Linked DNA regions of Cricetulus griseus. The protein of the gene in region 3 interacts with the protein of the main gene of each other region in a pairwise test. Links are inferred from orthologs where the notes say so. Each region holds a gene or a part of one and is shown on either strand. Other genes may lie near its edges.

Region 1 (7,262 bases), on a different chromosome or scaffold from region 3:
CCTTTATTGGTTCTTTGGTAATAACTTTATTGAGATGTTATTCACAAATGATTCAATTCACTCATAGAAAGTGCACATTCTTTGTAGTATATTCCCAGAGTTACAAGGCCAAAACTACAATCAATTTTAGAATGTTCTCACCATCTCAAAGCAAATAGGTTTTTTAAAACTAATTACATTTATTTATCCATTTATTTGCATGTGGGGGATAATGTGCCTTAGCCCAAATGTGGAGCTCAGAGGACAACTCAAGGATGTGGGCAGCCTTTAATTACTTTTCTTTCTTTGCTTGTATTTGGTTTTAGGATTTATATTTAAATTTTTTTGTGTGGGTGTTTTGCTTGCATGTATGTATATACACTACATTTGTGGCTGGTAATCACGGAGGTCAGAATTGGATTCCAAGGAACTGAAGTTATAGAGGATATGAACTACCCTGTGGGTGCTGAGACTTGAGTCCAGGTCCCCTGGAAGAGCAGCCAATGCTCTTAACTGCAGAGCCATAATATCTCTAGCTCCTTCCATCTGTTGTAAATGTCACTCAAATTCTAGAGCTTTAGCAATGGAAACATTGCAGTTCTCATTTCCCACTCAATTTAATTCCACAGATACTAATAAGTCATCTGTTTTGTTTTAATTCACCAATCCATGGGAATAGAAGGAACAATAATATAACTTCCCAAATACCCATAGTTCTTCAGAGGAGCATGTTTCCAACAGTCTAGGTTGTAATCACCATGGGCCAAATGGACAGAATTTAAATTTTCCTCCAGGTCTAGATTCATAGCTACATTTTTGTATCTAGCTTTGGCTATGCCTTTTGGTTTTCTGTGATTTTATTCATTCATCAGCTATGCATTTATTGAGTATCTGCTGAATGCTAGTCATTGGACCAGGTCCTAGGTGTTCTTTTGTTAAACGGACATAGGAAATGTTGGTCCCCATATGTTTGTGTCTGTTTTAATCTTATTCATTTTCCTCACTATCTTCTGTTTTTGTCTCACTCATTTTTGCCATGAACTGTTTGGCCCCATCTCTGCTGCTCTGTGTACAAGGTACTCAGACTGGCCCCATCTCTGCTGCTCTGTGCATATGATACTCAGACTGTCTCTGCTGCTCTGTACACAGGTACTCAGAATCCTTTCACCGGCTCCTGCCTTTCCCCCTCCTTTTCACAGTCATTTCTAACATAGAAACATGTAGGGAGTCGTTCCTGCTTTCTCCATTACAATGATGGTGCCTGAAGGCACAGAATGTAAATTATTTCACAGGCGCTGGGTAATTTCCATTCCTTTGATCTCTGCCTATCCCGTGGCTCATTTGGCCTGAGGAGCTAAAGCCATTCATAGGGTAACACATCCCAGGCGGGCTGCCAGCCTTTATTAAGGAATGGGATTCTTGGGCAGGAGTCTCCGCTCTGGTAAGCTTATGCTCTCCTCTCTCAAGATGCATTAAAGCTTTCCTGCAGAAGGATCTGAATGTCCTGTGTGATTCTTGCCGGCGAGAATATCGCGCGGGACATCTGGTGCCGAAACCCGGGAACTTGTTAACATCGCCGGCACTGCGGAGACCCCCTAACGGGGTGGATTCAGAACTGCAGGGTGGTAAATTCGGAGAGGTATGTCTTTTCTGGACTTTGGCTTGGGAATGTTGCTATTTTGGGAGGTTAGTGTAGAGGCTTCTGTGCTTTTACTAGGAGCCATTTTGACCTTTCTCACTGTTGTAGCAATCTTAAAGAAGTCCAGATGTCCCGCGCTATGGCCTCGCCGGCAAGAATCACACAGGACACTCGGATCCTTCTGCAGGAAAGCTTTAATGCATCTTGAGAGGAGAGCATAAGCTTACCAGAGCGGAGACCCCGGGCCAAGAATCCCATTCCTTAATAAAGGCTGGCAGCAGTCGCCTGGGACGTGTTACCCTATGAATGGCTTCAGCTCCTCAGGCCAAATGAGCCACGGGATAGGCAGAGATCAAAGGAATGGAAATTACCCAGCGCCTGTGAAATAATTTACATTCGGTGCCTTCAGGCACCATCATTGTAATGGAGAATGCAGGAACGGCTCCCTACAGAAACAGACAGCCAAATATAAGCCAGCTCTCAATGCAGTGACTCACAGCATTAGTAATAATTTTCTCTATTCAAACAGTGTCTCAATAACTGAAGTTGTAGAATCAAGCTGTTCAAAGTTAAGACAAATGTACTCCAATTCATTTTCATAAAATTTGCCAAAAAGGAGGCCAGAAAGGTGGCATGGCAGTACAGGCTGTAAGTATTATGGCAGATTGGATGTACAGGGATTCTGGCACTTGGGAGCCAAAGAATACTGAGTGTCACAGTTCAGGTGGGGAAGTATTCTGACAATCGGGAGCCAAGGGATACCTCAGGTCACAGAAGCACAGCAGCTTATAATCCTGCTCCAGGGAAATTCTTCCCTAGTGTATCATCTCTGCTCCTGCAGGGGAGGGTTTCCCCAGAGAACTTGTTACAGTTCAGTTCAGCTCACTCAGCTCTGCTCTGGCTCTGGCTAAGAGTTGTTACTTCTCTCCTCTGGTGAAGGAATGTCTTACCCAAACCTCATTCAAGAGATTTATTAGGAGGGACGTATCCAGGAGAGGTGCTGGCAGAGGACAGCCAGCCAGCCAGCCACGAGCTGAACAGGAACAGGGTTTGTATAGGGCTTCTAAGGGGTGGAGTTTTCCCAGGAAGATTTCCTGGGTGGGGATTGGTCAGATTTCAATCCCTGACCTCAGATTGGCTAAATGATTCCCTGCTCAGGGATTAGTTGGTTTTCTGCACATGTTCAGGGCCAGATCTGGCTCTGGTTTCGGGGCCAAAGTGTGCTTCTTTTACTCATCCTTTGTAGCTTTTTGGCTCTAATTTTAGGACCAGGGAATATTTCTTTCACTGGCTCTGATTCCAGGGACAAAGTGTGTTTCTTTGGCACTGGTTTCAGTGTCAGGGGGCATTTCTTTGGTTCTGGTTGCAGGGCCAAAGTATGTTTCTTTGGCTGGCCCTTTTCCCCTACACAGGGGATGACATCAAACTCCAGTTGATGACTGGAGTTTGGTCCCTGGAACTCAAATAGTGGAAGGAGAGAATATTCAGCAAGTTCAGCTAGTTGTCTTCTGACCTTGACACAAGGGTAATAAACCTTTGCTGCAGATTTTTCGATCAGCATCTAAATGGGCTGCCTGGAATATCTTCTACCACAGTCATAGCGATGCCACTGAGCTCCACTGTGGACCAGCTTGAAGAGCAATGAGTAATTTAGTCTTGGGTTGTTTAATTTCACTAAGCTACTTATTTTTATAACTGTTTGTTTGTGTGGAGAGCTATGTGATAAATTTTATCCAGGGAAATGATTTTACCCTTTATTTATTTTCAATATATATTGCCTTTCTAGACATATAGATTGTGGTTGCTAGGCTAAAGTTGAATTACTTCACTTAGGTAAACAATATGGGCACACAGCTGGCACTCTATAGATCTGAAGAAACAAATGGCCTCGAAGCCACCTGCGGGGGATTGTCACTGTACACTCTGCTTAGAGCAGCAGTCTAAAGAGCAGACAAGCACTGCGTGGCCATTCTGATTGTTTGAATCAATTGTGTGGGGACAAATGATTCTCAGTATTTTTCTCCATGGAAATAAAAAAAAAAAACTAATTTTGAGGACTGTTTCTTTATTATTCTTTTGGATATGAAGATTTATTTGTTTCTTAAACCAAAGTAAAACTGTAAGTATAAGAAAATAGAAGATTTTCTGAAGCTGAAGCAAAAGGCAAATGTCTAAATAGTTAATCAAAGCTATAGATACCAAGTCAGTTCTTTATGTCTGCAAAGGATGCAGCAAATTGTGGCTATGGAGCCAGGCACAGTGGTGCACACCTGTAATCCCAATGCTTGGGAGACAGAGGCAGGCAGAGCTTTATGAGGTTTAGGCGAGCCTGGTCTACATAACAAGTTCCAAGCCAGCCAAGTCTACATGGTAAGGCTTTGTTTTGAAAACAAAGCAAGCAAACCCCAAACCCAAGGACTGTTATTTATTTGAAATTTGGGTTTTTACTGTCTAAAATAGATTATCCCCATTTATAACCATCTGTTTTAAAGTCACACATAACAAATATCTAGTTTTTTGCTTATCATCAAACTATAAATGAATATACTAGGTATTTTGAGAACAGTTGAAATGACTGAGTTTTGAAACTCCAGTGAGATTACCGTACCTCTTGAGAGTGTCTGAGGAGGTCTCTTTTCTTTTTTGATAGCAATGGCAAGGTTGGAAGAAACTGTAATCATCAAGAGGCAGAGGGCCAAAGTGGAATGGAGCATCGTGTCTTCTAGAAAGTCACTCAGAGGCAGCTAGATGGCAGAAAATAATTTTCAGAATTTGGTCATTTCCAACAGTTTGCTATTAAAAGATATTTGGATAAACCCCATGCCAACCAGTTCTCTTGATTTCACATTATAAAATCTTTTGGGATTGTTTTTTTAAAGCATTTAAGAACATTGAGCCATCTTAGTAGATACTAAGTTTGTGAAGTTCTGGATATCGTGGCACAGAATGACATTCAAGAGCAGGTTGAGGGCACCCAGCTGGCCCTGAGGTCACTGTGGTGTGGGTAGCTTCCCAGTGAAACTCAAAACATGATCCTGTTCATTAATCACCTTCACACTGCAGCATGCAAGGCAAAGCTGACTCTTGGCACGCACAAGTGCTCTTTGTCTTTTCATCTTTCTGGGCTGAATACCTGAAAACATCCCCTTAACTCTACAGCAAAGTGAGCTCACTGCTGCAGCTCTGGATAGGAAGCAAAGCAGAACTCGGATGAGCCTTGCTTCTTTCTCAGTGCTCTGTCGTCACATAACTTCCCCGGGCTTCCCAACAGTTGGCCTTGCCCATCAGTTTGCAGTGCTTCCCATTAAAAACTGCTGTGTACCGTCACATTGCTAAAAGTAAACATTTGAAGAACAGAGTGGAAGGAAATGTACAGATATTCTTCATGTTTGATTCAAATTTCCTAAAACATTTTTGCTGCTGACATGTGTTATTTGGCAGTGAATTCCACCATAATAATGAAATTTCCTAGCCCAAATTTAATAATTGGTTATTAAATTTGATTATGTTTGAGTTGACTATATTTAGCTCCACTAAGAATTGTGGGAAATGGAAAGACTAGTAAGACACAATAATTTGGTCTCACGAAACACCTGGTGATTATAACAGTTAGTATAAAAATGGCATTTGAGATCTCGGAGGACACAGCTCAGTGGAGGTTTATAGAGCCTAGTTTCTCTAGATGCTTTCCTGTCCCTCTCTTGGCAGTATGATCTCATTCCCAGTGATGTCTCTTCTGTCCCATCTCTGAACTGATGGTGTTTGCCATCCCAGGTTAGTCTTATTGAAATTACTTCCTTCCATCCAACAGGCTCTAAAAATTCTGCTAACTGGTGACCATGTTGGGTAACACTATCCGTTTTGGTTCTTACAGTTTAGGAAGTCATGAAACATTGTAGAATGTTGTCTTGCTCCCTTAAGGTCTGGCCGTCTTTTACCTGGAAGACGGAATGAATGCTACGGCAGATTCTATCAGGGAACATGGAAAGCCTGGGACAGAAAACCCACTTTGTGAGGGTCAGCTTCAATCAGGTCGAAAGTCGCACTAGAGAAGTTGAAAAGCCACCTACAATAGAGTCCTATCAGCTTCTAGAAGGTCTCCAGATACACTATAGGTGGCAAATAATAATAATAAAATAAATTTAAAAAACCTGAGATTGGCTGTGAGGCTTCATCCTCCTCGAGGAAAGTTCAAAACTGCTTCAGAATCTTTTGGGATCTTAGAGGAAGAGGTAAGAAAACTTAAGCTGGAGAGTGTTGGGAAAGTCCTTGGTGTTAGGAATAGATGAATATGTGAAATCTACATCAAGAAAAGAGAATGGTGCAACTTCCACATCTATGGATTTTCAGGCCAATTTCAGAATTGAGGAGGAACTCAGTAATTCTTAATTCCAAGTGCTTATGTACTTATTACATATTTATGTACTATTGTCAAGCACCTCTTTATATTCAAAAGTGAAAACCTTTCTTAGATGTTGCAAAAAAGATACTGACTGTTTTCAAAGCAGTATAGCGTCTATATTGTTGTTTGGGACTGAGTAGTGCTTCCCTTGGTCAGCATGTGACTTGCCGAGAGTCCTTAAGTTCTAGCTGGAAGAGACAGGCAAGGGACAGGCATCTGGAGGAATTCAGACCATTACTACATTATAGCAGCGTCTGATGCCTTTGGGAAGCACCAACTTCCATGTCTACCATCAGGCTTTAGCAACATTGGCCAGCTAGCATTTCCTGACACCACACTTGTATCTCTGAAAAGAAATTTAATGTAAGCCATTTTCTTCAATATTGAAAATTTCTGTATTTTAAAATAAAACTTTAGGGGACTGGTGAGATGGTTCAGTGGTTAACAGCACTGGCTGCTGCTTCCAAAGGACACAAGTTAAATCCCCAGCACCCACATGGCAGCTCACAACTGTCTGTAACACCAGTTCCAGGGCATTTAGCACCCTCACCCAGATATACATGCAGGCAAAATACCAAATGCACATGAAATGAAAAGAAATAAAAAACCAAGCTATTTTAAAAACCAAATAAAATTAACAAAACAAAACATAAAACAAGGGAACACTATTGCTTTAACTTAATTCTATTTTTAACATGAATTAAAAGTAAAACTATGAAGCCAGCACAGGAAACCAAGTCAATATCAGCAGCAAAACATAGTTTCATCTCATGTTTCGCACTTTTAAGCAAGAGCCTCACTTTTAAATAGCAAACAATTAATTGACCATTTAAATGTAGCAGAGACTGAAAGATTGAACACTGAGTAGTCTGGAAGTTTTGCTTGCTTACCTGAGCTTCCCACCGATCTTGTTAGAAATATATTCTGGATGTTTCCCTTTGCAAAGGGGTGTGGATTTATAGACACACACACCTGACCTACTGCTCTAGCTGCACGGCAACAAGGGTGCTGTCACCTGTCTGCTCACAAACACAGGCTTGTCCAAAGAACTTGGCTTCTTCCCAGTTCTCATGCTCTACACAGTGACAAAGCTCTCCTCATTCTACAGTGAGATCACATGTCTTCACAAAATGACACCAAAAACTTGGTGCTTTTTTTTCCTCTACCATTTACTTTCCAAGGTAATTGGATGTTTGGCAAGATTTCAACACTGTAAGAAAAAAGAAAGGAAACAGAGGAAAA
Region 2 (7,419 bases), about 170 Mb from region 3:
ATGCCTGCAGTCCCATTACTTGTGAGGCCTAGGCACAGGGATTGAGTTTAAGGCCAGCCTGACCTAAAATAGCAAGATATCTCACAAAACAAAATGAAACAAACAAACAAAAAAAAACAAGCAAAAACCACCAAAAATAAGCTAAAATAAGGAGAACCTTCTGCTAGTTTTTACATTTGAGCTCTGCTAACAGAGTGACAGGAAACTGGAATGTCAGGTGATTGTGGCTGCTGGTTAAATCTGGTCTGTGGGTTTGAAGGCTGATTCTAGTTTTCTCTACATCCTCAGGTTGGGACTCAGAAACCTGGATATTTGCAATATGACCACATTAGGGAAGTGAAGGTGAACTGGCTTTTGCCCCTGAGTTTTCCCTAGGGGTCAGGCAGGTAAGACAAAGCAAAACCAAACCCTAATTTCTGGGTGGTTGGCAAAAGAGGTATGTGGGGCCATCCAGGGCAGCTGGTAGGAGTGACATTCAGAATGGTACTGAGTAGAGGCAGCACCCTCTGGTTCCTGTCTGTAGAACACAGTTACAACACAGGGCCAGCCCCTGAACTGTCACAGACCTGCCAGTCCTCTAGTGTTCTGATCCTAACCTCTTGCCAATTTCTGTACTCAATTTTTCTTGTATTTCCTGCTAAGCTTTCTGTTACTTCAGCAAGACCTAATACTAAGCACCAGCTTCCTGTATTATACTGGACTCTCCCTTGAGATTGCCAACTCTGGACACTTTGTGAAATCTCTCAGATAAATCTCCTTTCCCTTCTATTCATGGTGGATGAGCTGGTCTCCTTACATCCTCTGGAATTCCCTCCATTCCTTGTCACTGAAGCCAGGATACTCTTCCAAAGATGCAAATCTTTCTATGCCACTCCCAGGCTTAAGTCCCCTGGCTTTCCATGGCTCTACAAGTCAAGCCCAGAACCACAGCCTTTGAGGCCCATATGATCAAGCCCCAGTGACTTCTGGCTCCCACCTCTTTCCTTTGCCTGATAACCCTTAGCCACCTTGATTCTAATGCTCCCTCTTGACTGTGCCACACTTTTTTTTTCCATACATACTGTCCCTCTGTATGGAATGCTCTTCCCACCACTTTGTCTAGCTGAGCTTTCAATTAGCTCTTGGTAAAATGTCACTTTCTCAAGGTACCTCTTACTGAACCTGTTCTCCAACCCAGACTCAATATGTAACTATTATAAATATTAATAAGATGTATTTAAATAATTATCGTGAGGGTAGTATGGTCCTTCCTTTCCCCATTAGCATGTTTACTCCATGAAAATGGGAACCATGTTTGTTTTAATGTCAGTTGGGGTGCCTAGCACAGTGTTATCCATTTAAGAACTAAGTGACTGAATAAAAGAAAGATTAGATAAGATGGCAAGAGAAATCTCCTGAACAGCGAATGACCTGTCCTTTCATACAAAGATCTAACAGCACTTGAAAAAAAGCAAGAGTAAGCAACAAGGAGCAATCACTTGTCACCACTCCTATGTCAGGTTTGGGAACAAGGCATCTGCTTGGCTCCAACCTAAGTCTACCAAGACTTCTGTAGATAGGGACTATGTTTCCCAGCCTTTGGATGCTTGGGATGGAGACGACTTCGGTTCTGGAGTAAGAAACACTTGATTTTTGTACTACCTAGTCGTTTGACCTCAGACATTTATAGAACCTCACAGAACCTCTGTTTTCACATCCTAAAATGAGGTGAGTTGAAGGTAAAAAACCAAGCCGCCACACAACAGTACACAGGTTAGCACACACAGCCTGGGTTAGAAGTACCGAACTCTTTTCCTTAGCAAGCTGGCGTATGCACGTAATTTCACTCTTTCACACCCGCAACACTATTTAGGATAGAAATAAAACCAGGGGCTGGAGGATATAATCTATAGAATGCTATCCAGGTCCTCCACCCACCCACCGGAGCCCTGGGGGTTAGCTGAGCAGAACTTTAGATCCATCTGTGCCTCCTTGAAGCAAGAGAGTGGTGGGCTGGAAGCTGAGGACAGGTGAGCCTAGCAACCTATTATTGAAACTAGAAAGGAAGCCAGAAAGGCCGATAAAGAAGAAGGAAGAGAAGAAAGAAAAGGGGTGGTGGTGGCTGGGGCCAGAAACGGGAATCCAAGTTGCCCAGGAATCCCAGTTGTGAAAGGGACAGGGGCTGCAAAAGGGACTTGTTGGAAGGAGGATGCAGCCAGGTCAGGGGCTAGCGCTGGAAAGAGGAAGGGCAGGCTCCTGGCAATAGGAAAGGGGGCAATGACCTGTTACTTGGAGAGAAACCGGGGAAGCAGAGGGACTGGAGGGCAGCAGCTGTCACCTTGCATTCTCCAAGAGGGCAGGTGATCTGGGCTCTCTGGAGCGGCGGGCTGGGGGAGGGGTCGGAAGCAGGGAGCGGGGTGTGCCCCGGGCCGGCTGGTACCTGAGGGTCCACTCGCAGTTCACCCACGTAGTACTGCTCCAGCCAGCGGCGGGCATTGTCCGAGTGTCTGTGAGGTGGCCCATCCAGGTCGGCACTGATGTCCTGGCCAGCCCGCGCCCGCAGCAGCTGCTCGCCCCCCGGATGGTGCCGCACGAAGCCGGTGAGGTCGTAGAGGCTGGCCCCGCGGCGGACCCAGCAGGCGCCGGCCGCCAGGCGCCGCTGGACCTCGGCGGGCGAGAAGGAGGCGGCGGGGGGCGGAGCGGGGGCCATGGCGGGAGAACGGAGCTCGGATCTCGGAGCCCTGCCGTCTGCTCCGCGGCCGCCCAGCGCGCCTCTAACATCTCGGGAGCCGGGGCCGCCGCAACGGGCCGGCCGCCACCGCACCTGCTCATTTGCATGCCGTGCTCTCATTGGCCACTCGGTGGGACGCGGCTGGTGCCCGGAGCCACCTCCCCATTGGCCCGCAAGGGACCGGAGCTGGAGCGCTGGGCGCGGAGAGCGGACGCCAGGTGGCCCCGGGCAGGTAGAGGGCGTGCCCGCCAGGTGTGTCCGGCTGCGGGTGGGTGCCAGCGGATTGAACGGGGACGCTCTGCAGTTTCAAGAGGCGTCAAAGAAAAAAAGCAACAGGGCAGAGGTCTAGTCTAGTGCGGGATGAAAAATTTAAAGTCACCCCAAATTCAGCCACAGTATATAATAACGAAGTATTTAAAAGAATTATATCATTGTACCACGTGAATGCGCATCTAGATGCTTGAAAATTTATTGATGAAGTGCTATAACTTTTTATTATACACATTTTACTACAATTTAAAATAAAAATTAAAAAACACACTTTAGTGGGTGGTCTGGGGGGGTGTTTCAAAATAGATGGTTTTGAAAAGGTTTTATTTTATACGTGCGTGTGTGCATTTACATCCTTCATGAGCATGTAATGCCTGTAGAGTCCAGAAGAGGGTGTCGATCCTCTGCAACTGGAGTTGTTACAGGCTTTTGGGAGCAGCCATGTGTGTGCTGGCAAGGGAACCCTGGTCCAGTGCTCTTAACCACTGAGCCAGCTTTCCTGTTGTTTTTGTAAATCAGGTTTTATTGGACTAAAAGCCATAATTAGTAGAATAGGATTGGGAAGGTGCACAGCTACATTGTGCTTTTATTTAAATGTTTTCTATTTTGTTCATTATGGATATTTTGCTTTAGTTCTGAATTGTCAAAGACTATTAAAGTATTTATCTTAGGAATTACTATTTACTTTATTAACTTATGAATTTATTATATATCTGCCCATCTATCAGCATATCTCTGTCACCTCGAAATCTTGTAATAAAGATGTAGCTGATTCAATGCTCTTTCAAGCCTCCTTATTTTCCTCTTGTTTGGGAAGCGCTGGGGCTTTGGAGACCTCCTCAGGTAGAGGTGGATTGCTGGCTTGCCTGGTAATTGATGGATTTGTGCCTACTTCATCTCTTTTGTGAGTTTATTCTGACTGATAACTTTATTCTTGATTTCTGGGTAAGACACCATTTGGTGACTGGAAAATAAAACTTGTAATATTTTCAAGAAGGAACTTATCCTGGGGTTAGAAGATAGTGGCTAAGACCCTCCACTGCTCTTCCAGAGGATCAGAGTTCAGTTCCCAGCACCACTGTTAGGCAGCTCACAACCACCTATAACTAACTCCAGTACCAAGGGATCCTTGGTACTGGATCTCTGGCCTCCATGGGGGAACACACACATTTTGGCTGTTGTTGCTTGTTTGTTTTGTTTTTGAGACAGGTCTCACTGTACAGCTTCAGCTCGTATAGAGCTTGCTTTGTAGACCAGGCTAGCCTTAAATTCATACTTATATGCCTGCCTCTGAGATCAAAGGTGTGCACCACCACACTCTGCAACACACAATTTTGTTTTACAAGACAGGGTTTCTCTGTGTAGCTTTGTATACCAGGCTGGCCTTGAACTCACAGAGATTCACCTGCCTCTGCCTCCTGAGTGGAATTAAAGGCCTGTGCCACCACTGCCCAGCTGCAACCCATAATTTAAAAAAAAATCTTTAAAACATTTATCTTGAGATTTGAAGTTACCTTGAATTTTTTGATAGGCTCTTAAATTTTGGTACTTCACTCATCTTACTCATGACCCTGGGAGAGAATCCTGGATGAATTCTCCTTTATAGAAGGAAAATAGAGGCCTTGGAGGCAAAGCCTGTGGATTGGGTGTGTCATCAGAGCCTTGTTAATAACAAGGAGAGTCACATACAGCTTTACTTTCTCAGCTATGGACACGTGATTTGTAATTAGACTCCAAGTTCTGAGGTTGCCCCATCCAACTGGCTTTTGTCTCCCTTCCAGAAAACGTTTTTTTCCAGGTTGCCTCTGCTTGTTGCCACAACAATAGAAACATATACAGCCAGGCTACTGGTCTCACCCTCCAGGGGTAGGTAAAAGTTCTATGGTGACTATAGGTCTGCTAAAACAGCTAACCATCAGGCCTGGACAATGAGACCTAGAATGGTTACCCTCACCCCATTCTCATACCTACTGTGTTTCAAATACTTGGTAAGGCAAAAGCAGCCAAGAATAGGCTCCTCGGGCTACCATGTAGCCATCAGAAAGAATTAGGCAGACTCATTCTAATTGATGAAATAATCTCCAGGACATTGTACTGGGGAACAAGAACAGTGGGTATAGCATGCTAACAGATAGTTTATTGTATTTATTTATTTTGAGACAGGGTCTCATCATATAATTCTGGCTGGCCAAGAACTCATTATGTAGATCAGGCTAGCCTCAGACTCACAGGGATCCATCTGCCTCTGCCTCACAAGTGCTGGGATCAAAATTGTGTGCCACCATGCCTGGCCTTGTTATTTTTAAGACTGTAGTATCTAAAAATATTTTTTATGCAAACAAAAGAACATATGTAAATTTTTAAAACAAAAATCATATTAACTAAGACAGAAACTTGAACCATTTTTTGTACTGCAAACCATCTATATTCTGCCTCCTAGTTACCAATTGGTAGCTCCTGCCCCTGAGTTCTGTTTTGTTTCTGGTTTTTTTTTTTTTTTGTCCTGGAGGTTGAACTCACGTACATGCTAAGTAAGCATTCTACCAATAAGCTACACTCCCATCATATCTTCACCTTTATTTTTTTATTTTTTAGATTTATTTTACGTGTGTGTGTGTGTGTGTGTGTTCAAGCCGGTGGGAGCTGGAAGGCATTCATATGAGTGTATGCATATGCATGAGGGTGCCCACAATGGCCAGAAAAGGATATTGGATCCCTGGTAATGAGTTACAGGTGGTTGTGAGCCACCTAGTAGGGTGCTGGGAATCAAATTCAGGTCCTCCAGAAGAGCAGCAAGCACTCTTAACTGCTCAGCCACTTCTCTCTCCAGGCCTGTATTTTTTATTTTTAATTAAAATAATCTTTTCCACTCATCTCATCATAGAAACACTGGGATTACAAAATCAGACGTGTGTTAACTTGCACACAGTCTAGACATTCAAACCTATATGACAAGCACTCTACCTTGTGTGTCATCTCCCGGGCCTCATTATCTTTTAACAATCAGTGTGTTCCTACCAAGTACATTGCTTGAATTAAGTTGGTTTTGTGTTCTGTGAAAAGCACATGATGTTTATGTGTTGTTGTGCAGCTTTGTATTTTTCAGTTGATAGTGTATTGAGGTTCATCCATGTTGCTGAGCTCTCCACAGTGTCGACTTATGCCACTGTATGAGCATTTCCATTTGTCTTGGCCTCTGCATGGGAAGCACATATCTCTCTCTCTCTCTCTCTCTCTCTCTCTCTCTCTCTCTCTCTCTCTCTCTCTCTCATTACAGGGTCTCACTGTGTAGACCTGACTGATCTGGAACTTGCTTTGCAGACTAGGCCAACCTGAAACTCACAGAAATCTGATGGCCTCTGCTTCCTGAGTGCTGAGATTAAAGATGTGTGCCACCATATCTAGCTTTTTCTTTTTCTTTTATTATAAGCATTCTTGTATGCATGGGTAAGACTTTCTATAGCTTATATATCTAGAGATATAAATCACTGTGTCCTAGAATATACAAGTGTTAAATTTACAAAATAATGTATATTAGCTTCTGAGTAACTATACTGTATGAAAATCCTTACCTCCTTAATAGAAAAATATCTACATAAGCTATGAGCTATTTTTACATATATGAGATTTATATATTCTCCTTCATATACTTACACATTCAATGTTCATTTTATACTTCGTGTTATAATACAATTCTACTTTAGTTTTGCACAAACTTCTGGCCACTAGAGGGCGCGTGTGTGTCATGGATATATTCCCGCAGCTATAGAATCAGCCATTCCTCCATAGCTCTCTGGTTTCTGTTACTGGATAATGGTATTAGAAAATAAGATGTGGGCCAGGGATGGTGGTGGATCCACGTGAATGTAGCACTCAAGCTACAGAGGCAGGAGGAACACACATTGAAGACCAACCTATTTCACATACCCCAAAAGTTAATAAATGTAAATTATGAATAATTTCCTCCAATAAATTTGCTAGTTAGATGAAATGAACTAATTGTTTTCAAATATACAAATTGACAAAACCCATTAAAGAAGAAATAGATGGCCTGAATAGCCCCATGCTTATTAATAAAACTCAAATCATACTTTTAAACTTTCAAAGGAAATTCTAGACCCCGCAGGACTTCCCTGGTGAATCCTCTGAAGCATTGGCTTTACTGATAGTGTTATCAAATACTTTTAAAAAAAATAGCAAGTTGTGCTGCAGAGATGGTTCAGCAGTTAAGAGCACCAACTGTTGCTCTTGCAGAGGACTCAGCTTTCATTCCCGGCACCCGAATGGTGGCTCACGGTCATCTGCAGCTCCAGTTCCAGGAGTTCTGCTATCTTCCTCTGATCTCTGAGGGCACCAAGTATGAATGTGGTGCAGGCAAAACATTCACATACATAAATAAAAATAAAATAAGTACATCTAACAAAAAAAGAAAATAATGA
Region 3 (7,274 bases):
AATGTCAATCTTGGAGATATAATAAAGGAAAGATGTGATCACTGGTTGAATATACAGTTGCAGCACAGAAAGGTAACATTTAAGTCTTTGGTTAAGAGATTAGTGTTAATGGGGCTAACCAGAGATAACTCTAGACAAAGTGAGGGAGAAGATTGATATAGAAATGAGTTCAGTGTATTTTATTTCTTTCAAAGCATTAAATTAAGGCAATTTTCACTATTCTATGCCAACTTTCAAACAAGAAAAACTAGGAGTTAAACAATAACTTTTCAATTTAATATCCTAGCCTATGTATTTCTATACACCTAATTATTTTCCCAATATGAAAGAAATATCATGGTGGCAAACATGTGTAATCACAGCCCTCAGGAGACTGCACTGCAAGTTTGGGTTTAGGCTGGACTATACACTAAAACATGTCTCAATAAAAAGAGGGGAAAGTGAATGTTTATTTTATAAAGTGTATAAAGGCTGATGGACTTTATATAATTTCTCTAAGCACTGCTTTGTCTCTGTATCTTATGTATGGAATTTCACATCCATTGTACATTAGTCCTTTCAATTATCAATTCTGTTAAACCATTTGTTTAAATAGAACTGCATCTCCCAATATGTTCCCCAAGTCCCCAAACACAAATTTATGATTGTTCTTAAGAAAAGTTTCAGTTTCTTAAGGGGCTGGAGAAATGGCTCCGCAGTTAAGAGTACTGGCTACTCTTTCAGAAGACTCGGGTTCATTTCCCAGCACCCACATGGCAGCTCACAACTGTCTGTAATACCAGTTCCAGGGCTTCTGATACCCTCACACAGATATACATGCAGGCAAAACACCAATGAACACAAAATAAAAATAAAATAAAGTTTTTAAAAAAAGTTTTATTAATACAATTCTTGCCGAGAATGCTTTTTTTTTTTAACACAAGAAAGAACATTCCTATTTTGTTACACTGGCTCTAAAATATAATTTTAATTAATTAACAACCTAAACATGCAAATTAGAATACTTTATGTTGAAATCTTTTTATTAATTTCACTTCATCTCTGACGGTTTATTACTATCATGCACATTTGCTACATACATATAATTAAAATCTATTTACTATTATTATTTATATCTACTTTATGTTATTGCTGCACCATACTTAACAGTGAGTTTCAGGAAGGCAAAGGCAGATTTACCTGGCTTTGAACAAGACCTAAGAAGACCTGATCTCTGAGTCTGATGATGCTGTTGCTAACTTCCAGACTAGTAAAGAGTTGCTGGGGAGCTAAGATAAGAGGAAAGAGACTGGGATGAGCCTATAAAGACTGCAAGATTAGGGCGGTAGAAAGAAGAAGAGATAGTGAACAAAGAATGACAACATTAACCAAGACAAGAAGGAACAGAAAGTGCAATAGGAATTGGACATTATTAGTCACTGGATACATTTGTCATACTGATTACAAAATAACATAAACATTTTTTTCTAAGGGAGAGGTTTTGTTACCTAACACATTTCACTTTTTTTCCTTTTGTTGAAAACTATATCAATTCTGGCTGAAGAGATGACTCACTGGTTAAGAACTGACTGCCCTTCCATAGGACCAGAGTTCAATTTTTAGCACATGGCAGCTCACAACTGTCTGTAACTCCAAGATCTTACACCCTCACACAGACAAGCATGCAGGCAAAACACCAATGCACATAAAGTAAAAATAAATAAATTAAAAAATGTATCAATTCATTCTATCATAATGCTGTTTAACATGTAAACTATATTACTATATGTAAAATATGGTTTTAAATTTTAAAAAACTTTATGAATAAAATATGGGAGGCCAATCTTGGAATCACTGTGACTAGAGAAAGAAATCATGTTTACCATATTTCACCTTACTAGGCACAAGCCCTAAAAGGGGACTGGAAAGAAACCTGGGAGAGTTAGCTATTCATGATAACTCTTACTTAGCACAAAGCTGAAAATTTCAGTGATAATATTAATAAAATTGACTTTTCCTGTTTCCTGAAAAATCTGTAGCAGAATTCAAAGATTTATGATATCACTGAGTTTGCAAAATTAGTTAGAGCCTAATCCTATTTTGCCATCTTGTAATATCAAGCTTATTTATTAACTGTGTCCTATGGCCAAGATACTTTATGCAAGAACCAGATACTTAATTCAAATATCCTAAAATGTTAAAGTACCATATGCACTCAGGTTCCTCATAAATTTGTGTTTAATGCACCAGGCAAAAATGTGAGGCCCGAAAAGCTGTGTATAAAAATTCATTCCTCCATGTTAACAGTAGCCTAGGAGCCTGCCTCTATGGAAACCAAACAGTTCTAAACCAAGTAATTACTGATTTGTATTCCTAATTGTGTTCCCACTTCTTACTTTTATTTTGACTGAAGTAACAGAAAACCTGCTAACACCATTGTATAGATGGCAGGAGTAAGTCTTGATAAGCTGCCTAATGCATACTTTCAACTCACTTTAAGGCAAGAAGGTTTGAAATCAATGCTTGTGTTAGGACAGTTGTACTCTGAACTTTCACTCCACATTAAGTAAATAACAACATTTGCTTAAGCAATAAGGAAATCCATCTCCACCCACAAGTGTGGTAACTCCTGTCACACCTGTCTATCTGGAGTCCCTAGGAGTCACTCACCTGCACAGATCTGAACGTAGTAATGAAAGGCAACATGATATGATAGCCTGGTCCACTGGGGCTAGTTAGTAAGGCTCCGCCCCTGCAAAAAGATGTCGTGGTTGACAAAACTGCAAGTAAGAGAAATTCTCTTCCCAATTCTAAAATGCTATAGTAAACATTCACTGTTACTCATGTTACTAACCTAATGGCCTTACAACAGAGTTACTCAAGATTAACAACTGCTACTTAAAACATCCATCACACTTAAAAATGTGAAAATACATCAAAGTCAACTGCCAATATTGCACCTTGTTTCATAAGCTCCACCAACCACACCACTGGGTCTCTAGCACTGCTCTTGGGCCCACATCCTCTCCGGTAGGTCTTTAGCTTTCTGACAAATACTTATGGAAAAACTCTAATGACTCTCAATTAAGGTATCTTAATTGCACATAACAAGAGGCCAAGTCAAAACAATACATCTAATCACTAAGTTTTAAAAAAGAGGAAAGCAAATTTTCAAAGGAGGAAAATTTCTGAGGCTAATGACTCTTTTAATACATCATTAAAATCCTAGGACAGAGCTTCTGTCTGTATAAAGGAAACAAAAAAAAAAAAGCATGGAAAGATGGATGGCAAGAGGATTCAGAGTATAGGTGAGACACACATTTGTTCATCAGATTCTGGACCATGTGGACTTTGAAAACACCCCCTGGAAATGATGAAGAATAGGTGTTTAGGGACAAATACATCAAAAAAGCCCTATTTTATTCAATGAATAGTAAATTCACACATTGATCCTTGCCCTGAATGTACAAACAGGTTTGAAAGTCATAATTAAAAAGATAAACTGTTTCAGGTTCATCACTTATTTTGGGGGGAGTAATATCTTCATATATTCTCTTTGTGGTTCCCCTGTTGGAAGGAAAATGACAAGCTGGACAGAAATGTGGTCCAGGCTGGCACTTCTTATGCTAGAATTCCATCTGTTAAGACATACCACCAAAATCGTACTTTTTCTAGGACTCAGGAGGGATCTAAAAGTAGAAATACCAGTGTGTGTGGGGGGGGGGGGAGTGATGGAAATAAGCAGAAATCTGCTTTTTCTAAACAAACTCCTATCCCGATTTGTCCATACCAAAAGGAGCAGGTGGTAGTTCATACCGAAGAAAAGCTATGCCGAGTAAACCAGGCGGCAACACTGACCACACTCTTCCTCAGCTTGACTTGGAAAAAAGGGGGAAAGGTGGCCTATAAATGTGATTTTTGTCTCTTTTGACTTTAGGGACACACCAGTGTCATGTTCATTAAGATTTTGGGAGACATAACCAGATATACTGGGAGATTTTTAATGAAGGAAACAAAAAAAAAAAAAAAAAAAAAAGCCTTGAAGTCCAAAGCTACACAGAGAAATCCTGTCTCGAAAAGCAAAAAACAAAACAAAACAAAATAAAAAAACAACTTGAAGAAGGACCAGAGATCCCGAAAAGCATCATCTACAGTGGCAAAGCAAACACCTGTACAGTTGTTCGGACTACGAGTTAGAATTCAAGTCATCTAGGTTGCAGTGACAACTTCCTTCCCTCCTTAGGAGTCTCCAGCTCTGCACAGAACCAACTTGGCCCTAAGCTGCCCGGCACCCGAAGGTGCCCGGCCACAGGTGACTTGTGCCAGCAGCTGGGACGAAAGCCCTTCCGAGGGCTGCAGCGCTCGCTGCCCCGGGACCACCGGCGCGTGCGCGGCCGCCTCGGGGCGCTCGCTCGCTCGCTCACCTGTAGTACACGGCCAGGTGTCCCTCCTCGATCCTGTGGATGGCGGCGTAGAGGAGGACCACCACCAGCGCCGCCACCGCGGCCACCAGAACCCGGGCTTGAGTCATGTTCATCCTTGTCCCTCCTGGGCATGGGAAGCACAGGAGCCTCAGTGCCCTGAGTGACAGGCCGGTCCCCACCCTGCGAAGAGCCCGCGTCCGGTCGCGGGCTGAGGCGGGAAGCCCCGCGCGCCGGCCCCTGGCTCGCCCCTCGCCAGCCCCCGCGCCGCCGCCGCCGGCGGCCCCGGCTCGGCGCACGTCGTGACACCCCTGCCCCGGCTCCCCCGGCGGAGGACGGCTTCAACAGGGGACGGCCCTGGCCTCGGGCACCCGGGGAACCGCGACCCCTCAGCCGCGCCTCACCGGTCAGTGACGCATCGCCCCCGGCCGCACGTGCAGCCGCCTCCCGGCCCCGCCAACTGCTGCCAACAGCCGGCCCCGCCCACCTTCCCGGCACTGCGGCTGCGCGCGCGGGGACGCACGCGACGCAGCCCCCGCCCGCGACTCGCGAGACGGTGAGCGGGCGGGACAAAATTGGCCTAGGCGCACCCAGCGCGGTGCTTCCCAAAGCCTTAGTCGCGGGCGGTTGAAGTCGCTTGGCTGGCGTTGACCCCTGGGACCGGGGCTAGTGCTGGCGCTCCGGTCCCGAGGACTCAGCCCCTCAGAGTAGGGGTTGTCCCTTCATCCTTGTACGGTCTGTATCTAGCCTAACTGGCAAGGGACGCGCGTTCTTCAGCTGCACATCCCATCCTGCACTAAGGAAGCTGCCAGACCAGACTCGAGGAACGAGGGGTGTGCGTCCAGCGGAGGAATCTGTGTATTTAATCACTCAAGCTTGGGTTGAGTATTTTGTGCTACACCAGAGTGTTTTCTGAAGGCCACCCAGAAACAGGAACAGGAACAGAGTGGAGATCCGGATTGTCTTGTCAGGAGGCCAACGTGAACAGTGAAGGCTTGTTTTTCCGCGAAGGAAAAACGGTGGAGAGTATGGTAGGCTAGGCTAGAACCAGATTAAAGTCTGGGGTGCTCTTTTCTGCTGATAGAAGAACTGGATGGCAAGGAGATGGACTTTTTATTTGCTTGGGTGTTTTGCCTACATGCATGTCATCCCGTGTGCCTGGTGCCCTCAGCAGTCAGAAGAGGGCATCGGATCCCCAGGAACTGGAGCTAGAGAACTGCCACATGGGTGCTGGGAATCGAACCAGGGTCCTCTGGACCAGCAGCCTGGGCCCTTAGCCTGAGCCGTCTATCCAGATCCCTGAAACTTTTATCTCACTGCGAATTATTAAATTTCACACCATGTGGACCTAGTGAGACGGCTCAGTGGGTAAAGGTGTTTGAGGACATGCCTGATAACTTCATTATATCCCTAGATTCTACATAGAAGTGAAAAGTGGAGACCGACTCCATGAAGTCGTTCTCTGAGCTCATCACACAACAACAGACACAATAATAATAATTTGTATATAAAGTTTAGGGAAAAAACCCCACACCATGTGTATATGAACAAAGAAAAAGAAAAAGAAAAAAAAAGGGTAGTTTAGAGATGTATGAGCACGTGGGAAATAAAGTCATCCCAGTTCATTAAGGGCAGAAATGAGACAACTGGACAAGAGTGGAAGGATTTCTGAACTCCAGTGCAGGAAAATACCAGAAAGCAGTCTCACTGAGAGTGAAGAAAGACAGGAAGCTGGGAAACAAAGAACAGCAGGCCCAAGGTTATGGTGCTAACTAACCTCACTCCAGTCAAGTCCCATCAAAATGGACCTATGGCAAATCCTTGCACTGATGATTGTTTGTTTTTTCAAGACAGGGTTTCTCTGTGTAGCTTTGGAGCCTGTCCTGAACTTGCTGGAACTCTCTGTAGACCAGGCTGAACTTCAACTCAAAAAGATCCCCCAACCTCAGCCGCCAGTGCTAGGATTAAAAGCGTGCCACCACTACCTGTCCAACCAATGACTTTGATACTTAAAAAATGCATTATTTCTGGGAAAAAAATAAACAATAATTACATGTTCAGAATCTGAGGTGAACACCTTTATTGACTTGCCTGTGTTACTTTCAAGTCTGCCAAGTGAGGCCACACACACCTGTAATTCTAGCTCAGGACACAAAGGAAGGGGTAGCACTGAGGTCTGAAGCTAACTGGCCTGCATAGGTCTGTGCAGTGAGACTGTTTTAAAACAACAGAAATAAAACCAAAACACTTTCTGAGCTTTCCATGTAGGTTAGCAACTTCTGAGCAACAAGTACCCAATAAAGGCTTATTATTAAGAGCATCCAGACTCTAGAGCTACTGAATCTAGAGTTTGCCAGTCATCCATCATTCAGATGACAGGCATAGAATTGCCATCATAAAGAAACACTGATACTTGATTTAAAAAACAGAAGATTGCCATGTACATACATATCTGTAACAGACGTTGGAAACTGAGGCAAGGGCAAGTTTGGGTTAGGCTAGGTTAATAGTGAGACCTTGTCTCAAACCAAACCAAAAGATAAAAGACAACTCCAAGCTTTCAGACTTGGCTGACTAGGAAAATGACAGTATTAATAAAATGGGGATGTCATCAGTTGAAATGATGAGATCTTAATGTTTTTAGATACAGAGAGTAGTACTAGCACCTCTTAGAGAAAAACATACAGTGAGGAGCTAATACTTTCCATCCAGTAAGTCTTTTTTTTTTTTTTTTTTTTTTTTTTCCTGTTTTGTTTTTTTGAGACAGGGTTTCTCTGTGTAGCCCTGGCTGTCCTGGAACTTGCTTTGTAGACCAGGCTGGCCTTGAATTCACAAAGATCTGCCTGCCTCTGCCTCCTGAGTGCTGAGATTGAA

What was found. The genes of interacting proteins can lie anywhere in the genome.
Region 1: the proteins of Erlin1 (region 3) and Agr3 interact in binary tests that used the Homo sapiens proteins (3 or more experiments, as listed by UniProt). The two-hybrid records come from large-scale screens. The link is inferred for Cricetulus griseus from reciprocal best matches to the Homo sapiens genes ERLIN1 and AGR3.
Region 2: the proteins of Erlin1 (region 3) and Fa2h interact in binary tests that used the Homo sapiens proteins (3 or more experiments, as listed by UniProt). The two-hybrid records come from large-scale screens. The link is inferred for Cricetulus griseus from reciprocal best matches to the Homo sapiens genes ERLIN1 and FA2H.

What each region holds. Positions count from the first base shown.
Region 1 is NC_048598.1:165,787,150-165,794,411, forward strand, and holds the start of Agr3 (anterior gradient protein 3), read right to left. Parts: upstream 4,333-7,262; coding exon 4,227-4,332; intron 1-4,226. UniProt on the Homo sapiens protein: Required for calcium-mediated regulation of ciliary beat frequency and mucociliary clearance in the airway. Might be involved in the regulation of intracellular calcium in tracheal epithelial cells.
Region 2 is NC_048596.1:187,796,485-187,803,903, forward strand, and holds the start of Fa2h (fatty acid 2-hydroxylase), read right to left. Parts: upstream 4,333-7,419; 5' UTR 2,831-4,332; coding exon 2,420-2,830; intron 1-2,419. UniProt on the Homo sapiens protein: Catalyzes the hydroxylation of free fatty acids at the C-2 position to produce 2-hydroxy fatty acids, which are building blocks of sphingolipids and glycosphingolipids common in neural tissue and epidermis.
Region 3 is NC_048596.1:17,482,158-17,489,431, reverse strand, and holds the start of Erlin1 (erlin-1), read right to left. Parts: upstream 4,904-7,274; 5' UTR 4,805-4,903; intron 4,783-4,804; exon of another isoform or gene 4,536-4,782; coding exon of another isoform or gene 4,517-4,535; coding exon 4,404-4,516; intron 2,732-4,403; coding exon 2,650-2,731; intron 1-2,649. UniProt on the Homo sapiens protein: Component of the ERLIN1/ERLIN2 complex which mediates the endoplasmic reticulum-associated degradation (ERAD) of inositol 1,4,5-trisphosphate receptors (IP3Rs).